2 linked regions of the Nothobranchius furzeri genome follow. The protein of the gene in region 1 interacts with the protein of each later gene in a biochemical or structural test. Links are inferred from orthologs where the notes say so. Each region holds a gene or a part of one and is shown in the gene's direction. Other genes may lie near its edges. The genes, in order: f5 and pros1.

The links.
Region 2: the proteins of f5 (region 1) and pros1 form a complex in vitro, tested with the Homo sapiens proteins (2 studies listed by BioGRID). The link is inferred for Nothobranchius furzeri from reciprocal best matches to the Homo sapiens genes F5 and PROS1.

The regions. Positions count from the first base shown.
Region 1 is NC_091754.1:39,109,718-39,113,535, reverse strand, and holds part of f5 (coagulation factor V), read left to right. Parts: intron 1-445; coding exon 446-667; intron 668-745; coding exon 746-911; intron 912-988; coding exon 989-1,169; intron 1,170-2,075; coding exon 2,076-2,172; intron 2,173-2,258; coding exon 2,259-2,464; intron 2,465-3,818. UniProt on the Homo sapiens protein: Central regulator of hemostasis. It serves as a critical cofactor for the prothrombinase activity of factor Xa that results in the activation of prothrombin to thrombin.
Region 2 is NC_091749.1:37,283,649-37,288,011, forward strand, and holds the start of pros1 (vitamin K-dependent protein S), read left to right. Parts: upstream 1-1,346; 5' UTR 1,347-1,596; coding exon 1,597-1,666; intron 1,667-2,830; coding exon 2,831-2,988; intron 2,989-4,319; coding exon 4,320-4,344; intron 4,345-4,363. UniProt on the Homo sapiens protein: Anticoagulant plasma protein; it is a cofactor to activated protein C in the degradation of coagulation factors Va and VIIIa. It helps to prevent coagulation and stimulating fibrinolysis.

The DNA.
Region 1 (3,818 bases):
CCTGAGGACTGTTGTGAATGGAGAGCTTTTGGGGATGGCAGGTTGCATCAGACACGACAGATATAGCAATTATGTCACATCTTCTATTTATCGATGAAAACATATAAAATAATCGTAATGCATCAGGATATCAAATCGATTTGAATTGTTGACACAATAATTGTAATCTAATCAGGAGACAAGTGAAGATTCACACCTCTAGTGCAGGAACAGCAGCGGTGTGCTGTAATATTGCAGGCTGGTGTAATGAACCACCAGCAACCCCAAAGATCACTTTCACTGCTGTGAACTGTGTGACATCCCTCTACGGGTCACAGCCTTCTGTCTGCATACGTGTGACTGAACAGTCTGTGCATAAGTAGTCAAAAACACATTAGAAAGAATTAAATCAACAAAAGTCAAACACGAATTCCTTTTGTGACCTTGACCCTTCCTTTGCTGTAAGGTGTCAGCATGTGTGCTCATGCCCCTGTGAGCCTCCATATGGCAGGAATGAGCTCAGAACCGGAGGCCTTCTCTGTGCACATCAACGGTCAGGTGATGACACAAGGAGGCCACAAAGTGTCATCGGTTGGGCTGATCAGTGGCTCCAGCGCCACGGCCAGCCTGGTGGCTCCATATGCAGGCCGCTGGCTTCTCTCCTCAAAAACCATGAAGCACATAGAAGGTTGGTGTTCCTTTGAACCCCCGGATGAACAAAGGACAGGTTTACTTCATGAAGCTCAACGTACTCTTATTATTGCAGCTGGCTTGCATGGCTTTGTGGATGTGCAGAAATGTGACAACTTTGAGGAACCATCACGCAGAATGACAATTGCACAGCAACGACAAAGCAAAGAATGGACCTACTACATTGCTGCAGAGGAAATCATCTGGAACTTCTCACCCAATCTTCAGGACCATGTTGATGCGTGAGCAGCATTACCTTAGGCTTGTACCCATAGTGTTACCTGCTGACCTAACTGCTAAATGTTTGTTTTGTCGGTAGGGACTTCCAACGACAGTACCTGACAAAGTCACCAACACATATTGGTGCAAAGTACAAGAAGGCGGTGTACACCCTGTATACAAATGCATCGTTCACTGAGAAGCTTGAGAACAAACAAAGGAAAAGTGAGCTGGGAATTCTTGGTCCAGTAATTAGAGCCCAAATCAGAGACGTCATCAAGGTGAGACCGTTTCCCAAAGGTGTCTGAAATCTGTTGTAGATGTAGCATCTCAGCAACCAGCGCTAGCAGCACCGAGATGGAAACTGTAGGAGCACTGCAAGAAAAGATGCACATTTTTTGCTTTAGTCTCACTAAATTTATGCTCACATCCCATTTTGCACGAATTCTGCACAAATGTCTCACAAGATCTCCGCTGACTTCCATCAAAATTCTCCGTGGGAGGTCCCAAGACTCTTGCGTCTGGTCTTTCATCACAGTGTCACTCAGTTGTCATTCACATTTGTTGTGAATGTGGTAAAAACAGCAACAGGAATCTGTGCCACACAAATACAGGGCCAGCACTCATTTGTCATGAGACTGGAAACACGAGATTAGGTCTGGGAGCTCCAAGAAGGAGTGCAGAAGCTGCTAGATGAGCACCGTAAGTGGAATGAGGCCCAGGCTGAAAACTGCATCATATCTGGTTGCTGGTGGCTCTAGGGAAGTCAGTGTGGTTGACATGCTTATGAAAGTCCTTACAGACAGGAGTGTGAGGGTCTCCTCTTTGAATGGGCCCAGAGATGAGTCAGCAGATGGTGGAAGGCCCGACCCCAGGCCTCTGATAAAGCCCAGCTCAACATGGATTTGAGATGTGAGCAAATACTCAGTAACTAAAGAGACACAACTTGTGTCTGGAGAGGGAAGCCCTACATCTCACTCAAGGAACCTGAGAACAGCCATAACTGCACCAGCCCAGCTGGAAGCTTACACCAGTGTGCTGGATGGTAAAAGGCACTGGCAGCTCATTGAGATGCTGCTGCGACACGCTGACAGCCAACAGCACGGGAATGCTCAGTGGAAAAACAAACAGCGGCATGTATGATGCTTTTATTGTGAAAAATCTGATTCCCCATCCCGTGTTTGTAGGTTGTATTTAGAAACATGGCTTCAAGACCCTACAGCATCTACCCACATGGGCTGACCATAGACAAGTCTGAGGAGGGAGTCACCTATCCAGAAGGAGGTATGGCTCTTGCTGCTTTGTGAAGCTGCTCTGTGGTTGGATTACATCTCATGAAGTGACAAAGCTTTTCGTGATGTGGTTGACAGGAAACAAATCTCATGCCATCCAGCCAGGCGAAACACACACCTATGTCTGGAATGTGCTGACAGAGAATGAGCCTTTGGATAAAGATTCTAGATGTTTGACCCGAATGTACCACAGCGCAGTGGACACACCACGAGACATTGCCTCAGGACTCATAGGACCCATTCTCATCTGCAAAAGTCAGTCCCTCAATGTCAGAAATGTGCAGGTAAGCACGATGTTTCATCGATCCATTTTCATCCGTTTACTCAGAGTCGGGTTGTGAAGGCAGCAGCTTTAGCAGGGAGGCCCACGCTTCCCTCCACCCAGCCACTTGGGCCAGCTCTTCTGGGGGAATCCTGAGGCGTTCCCTGATATAGTTCCTCTAGCAAGTCCCAGGTCTCCCCTTGGGTCTCCTCCTTTTTGGATGTGCCTGGAAAACCTCACCAGGGAGGTGTCCTAAACAGATGCCCAAGCCACCTCCACTGGCTCCTCTTGATGTGGAGGAGCAGCGGTTATTTAATTAACTAAGAAGAGACTTACGGGACCTGGTTGAAATGTCAGGGATCACACTCACCAAGAACCGTCAGCATCCACCCCCAACTAGCACATGAGTCTGCTTATAGCTCAGTTTATCCATGAGGCTGCTAACTCACAAAATGCTCTGAAATCTGCATAAGACAGTTTCTACACAAACTCTGTCACTTATTGTATTATTTATTTTTACAGATAAACAACTACAGAGAACAACCCCTTATCCCCCCCACCCACCCCCACCCCTACCCAGTCCATCATTCAGTCCAGCCAGTGTTACAAAAATAAATAAAAGAAAAGAAAATAGGGGAAAAATAGTCAGCAGCATCATTTCCTACTCGATGTTGATTAATTCAATGGTTGCAAGAAGAGGTCTTCTTCCATTGTGAAAACTGTCCGCCCGTCAGCAGTAGATTAGTCAGATCTGTGGGTATGCAGTCAAAGACAGTCCCTGCCTGTCCTTGCCCCTTACTACTGCATGCAACCTTTCAGGAGGAAGACTATTAAAGACCTCTCTGTACCAAAGGGTGACGCTGGGTGGTGAGGTCTTCCTCCAGAATGCACTTTTAGACAATTAGGAGTTTGTCGAGGACATTCTGATGCAAATCTTTAGAAGGTAGGCCTTGTAGGAAAACCCAAGGGTCATTTTTATTTTAAACATCCTGTTGATCACCTTTGAAATGAGTGTCCAGAATGTGGAAATAAATGAATGCGTCCAAAAATAATGATAATGTGTCCTTTCCCCTTTGCACTTGAGGCAGAGAGGGGAGAGAGAGTGGTCGAGTTTGTTTAAAATGACGGGAGTAATATGCAGCCTGTGGAGAATTTTACGCCTGGAACACACCGGGAAAGCGCGACAAAGTGCCACGAAGCGCCGTGGACGAGCGCTTCTAATCGGCGACCTTGTTGACCAACGCTCTCGGTGACATCAGCTGTGAAGCGCCACGTAGGCTTGCGCCGTTCAGCAACCGTTTTGACGTGAGCTCTATTTTTTCCTGAGCCGTGTCGATTCTGGCAGGAAGTCAAGCCGAAGAAGAGGCAGGCCAGTA
Region 2 (4,363 bases), on another chromosome or scaffold:
TTATTAAAAATGCTATTATACATGTACAAGTTCCCCAAGGGAAATGTGATTATATTAAGTTTTTGTGATTTGTCCCACCATACGCTGTTCAAATTGACTTACGGCGCTGTGGGATCTTTGGAACTGAGAGCTCCACGAACCACGTGACCGCGAGTCGGTGAGTTCAAAGAGTGTCGTAACTCTCCCTTTCTACAGCTCTGACGGAACCCTGCCCTCCTCTCCCAATGATTGGACAGGAATTCGAGAAACTTGATTGGTAGCTAAGACTCGTGCTCTCATTGGTTCCACCCAAGTTCCTCCCACTGACGCTAGAATCGAGACAAAAAGATCTGTAACACTGTAGATTTGAGGTATGTGTCATGGGTGATTCTGCAGGTTGAGTGCTTTGCAGTCTTGTTTCTGGTTTTATTGTATTTCTGGTACTTCCTGATTTATTTTGTGCATTCACTTCCTGTCTCATCACAGGCAGCTTCACAACATGAAGCTCCTCACTAATCTGCCTCATGTCTTGCACCTGGGTCCTGGCTTCTCCATTTAAGCATCTTTGCAACAGTTTTCTTTGCCAGTTTGTCTTCTCCTGTTGTGTGATGTGAACCTGCTCTCAGAAACATTTGGTAAAAGTGTATTCAGTTAGTTTTGGACTTTTCAGTTGTGTTGTACTCCAGGAATCCCTTCTGCTTATTAAAACTGTGTGAGCTCTGCATTTGAGTCCTCTTTGTGCTTTGATAGTTTGTACCTGTAAAATGAAATGTGTGTTTTGAGAGTTTTGATTTCAAACTTGTACCTTCATTTTTTCAATTTGGAAGTTTGCTAGTTGCAAAACGAAAGTTTCATGTTTCTGAATGAATGTTTGATGTTACAAAATGAGTAAATGTACAAAATAAAAGTTTGATTTTACAAAATAAAAAATACATGTACAAAATACAATGTTCCTGTTACAAAACAAGAAATACAAGTACGAATTGAGAATTATAAGTTAGAAAACTAAAGTTACAAGTTACGAATCCAAAGTTACAAGTTACGAATCCAAAGTTACATGTGATGAAACATGTTCGAAGTTACAAAACTTGGTACAAGTTACGCTGAATATTGTCCCAATCCTAGCTCCATATACCACCCCAAAAAAAAAATTTGGCGCTGTTTGGCCACCCCTATCAAAATTTTCTGGAGGCGCCCCTGCACTCTGACTGTTTACTGATTCGTGCCTGAACATTTGGATGTAACATTTAAAACTCCAAGATCAACATGTTGAAAAAGCGAATACATGTTTTACTTTTACAATCTGCACCCCATAGCACCTTCTAAAACAGCATGCATGTCACATGAAGGCCTGGTGGTGTGTGTCAGTATTGGTTCTTTGTGTCCTGGGCCCCCTGTTCTGCATTGTAAACCCATTTTCTGCATGAGTTCAGCCTCCTAGAGTAAACAAAAGACAGACAGGGCCAAGTGTGTCAACGTGCTCCCCACCTCCTCCTCTTTCTACAAAAACACTTTCGGGAGGAAAAAAGGTTAGTTTTTTTATTCTTCCAGTAAGCTGTGCTCAGCCGGTCTTTACCCAGAACCAGAGCTTGGCCCAGCAGGAAGAACGGCTCTGAAATGAAGCGGGCCCTAGGGAGACCCTTGGCTTGTCTCATGTTTCTGGTGACGCTGCTCGACGCTGATCGATGTAAGTATGATTTACCTTTACGCACCAGATTCAGGCTCTGAAAGAAGCAACTCTGAAGGACCGTGACTTCTATGCACCGGGAAACAAAAATCTGTTTACAACAACCGGGGCTTGTTTCTGGGAAATGACGGGTTTCGCAATGGTTCTGTTCATAGAAAAGCAATTAGGAGGCAGCAGCTATGGGAACCATGTGTCTGGAGGACAGAAAGGATCTGTCCACTTCTATTATAGTAGTGTGCAAAAGATTTAAACCAACCATAATTTAGCTGCCAAGCAGATAGACTTTTATAGAAGGTTGTTTTGATCAGTTATTTAGTTATTTTATGAGATTTTGGAAGATTTTTTTGCACTTTAAAAACAAGACAAAAAGTGTCAGTCCTGCTAATTATTAACAACCGATAGCCTGTATGTCTGAAGGTCATCTGCAAGAAATAAAAACAAAATATCTAAATTCATCAAAGAGCTGACAGAAAGGACCGGTGCCTCCTTGTTTGTTTAAATTCAATGCAGTCTTGTGTTTTTATTCAAGTAAAAATCTGTAAAGGTTTTAAACTTCCTGAATAACTTGTGGATTTCTAAAAGTCTTACAAAGTCTTTCTTTATATTTAAGCTGCACTTTTCTTTCATTTCCTCTTCAGTTCCTGTTCCTATGCTTAAAAATCAGTCAGGGTGACAAGTGGAAGACAAAAAGCCATTGAAAAGGAAATGTTATGCAAAAACATTAAAAATAAACAGTTGGTCTATGTCAAGTTTTCAGCTAATGACTCATTGTAAATTTCTTTTTGATGCTAAAATGTTGTTCATGCATTAAACAGTTTTTGTATTTGAAGATTTTGAATAATAACATAAAAAATGTGAAGAAATTTCAACTTATAACCTATGTCATATATAAAATATTTCTTTTGCAAATTGTCTGTTTTGTCTGTTCTGATTTTAGATGACTACAGTATAGGTTAGAGTTACGTGAAACTAGCTAACATTGAAAAAAGATGTGAAAAAACAGCCAAAGTTCAAAGAAAATTATTTTAAAGGGTGGAGGGGTACTTTAAGAGATTTTACACAGTAAAGTGTGTGTTTGGTTTTAATGTTTTTACAGCAAATATGGGGTAAAGGAAATAAAATACAGCTTTCTACATCTCGTCTAACTGAGACTTTCTGTCCCAGTCCTTAGCCAGAACACAGCCTCTCAGTTCCTGAGCAGGCACAGGAGAGCAAACACCATGTTTGAGGAGAGCAAGAAGGGGAACCTGGAGAGGGAGTGCATCGAGGAGCTGTGCAACAAGGAGGAGGCCAGGGAGATCTTTGAGAACCAGCCTGAGACGGTGAGAGCTGTTGCTGGATGGTGGGAATCTATGGAAGAAAAACAGTCTCACCAGAAAATGACTTATTTTTTAGTCACAGAATTTATGAAATTGTATTTTATTTTCTGTGAAATTGCGTATATGAACAATTTTGAACTTAAAGTACACCAGCAAAAAATTCCATCTGTAAAATTTCAATTGTATGGCCCAATCCCAATACTCGCACTGCACCCTATGCCCTTCTGTGACGTGCACTTAGAGGGGGTGCACATCAAATCTTAGTCGAAAACATTCAGAGCATGAATACATAAAATTAACTTCTGTCATTTCAAAATACATTTTTTCAGAAAAGGCACTTGAGCTATTGCTCCACCTTCTTCTCAAAATTCCCATGCAGCAATGGATTATGGGTTACACCCTTGCCTGAAGTCTTCATCAAAGCGGACTTGGGTGAAGTGCAAATCAAGGGTGCAAAGGGGGTACGGTCACCTTTTGCACTTGAGAATAGGGACACCCTACATACTGGCACCCCTATTTGGGAACACAATTGAAGGGCGTAAGGGTGGAAATGGGAGAATAGGGATTGAGCCAATTTCAACAGCAAAAATTCAACAGCTGAAGTGACCTCCTGGTGACCAAAGCAAAGTAATCATCATTCAATCGAGTTGATTCCACTTTAATTCAACTCAACTTTATTTATAAAGCCCCTTCCTACCCCAATCAAGGGGACCCAAGGTACTGAACAAAGTGTTAAGAACAACTGAAACACAATAAAACAGCTATATAAAATGCAGAAATACAACATTTAAAAGACAGTAAAAGATTTAAAAAGCCATAAAATAAAAATGATCAGAACATTAAAAAGTACAAAAGCTAAGAACTAGACGAACCTTTAGCCTAGCTTTAAAAATGGGCAGTGATGTGGAATGTTTTATTTCTAGTGGGAGTTGGTTCCGAAGCCCAGGACCCAGAACCGAAAAGGCACGATCACCCCTGGACTTACCTTTGACTGCGGAACCACCAGGAGGTCACTCTGACCCGAACGTAATGATCTTGCAGGGACATAGCAGGTCAGCAGTGAGGCTAAATATGGTGGGGAAAGACTTGAAAACAAAGACCAGGATCTTGAATAGCCAGTCCAAAGCAGTCCCATTGAAATTCTGCTGTTGAATTTTTTAAGATGAAATTTTGCTGGTGTGTTTTAAGTAAAAATAATTCAGTGTCATATATCAATGTATGAAAAAGTAATATTCTGGTGAGACCATATTTCTTAGAAAGCCTGTTAATATCACCGAGTTTATTCAAGTCTCCATCTGCTATTAACAGTAAATATCCAACTGTATTTTCTCCAGGAGTATTTCTACCCTAGATATGTTGGTAAGTTTTTAAATGTATC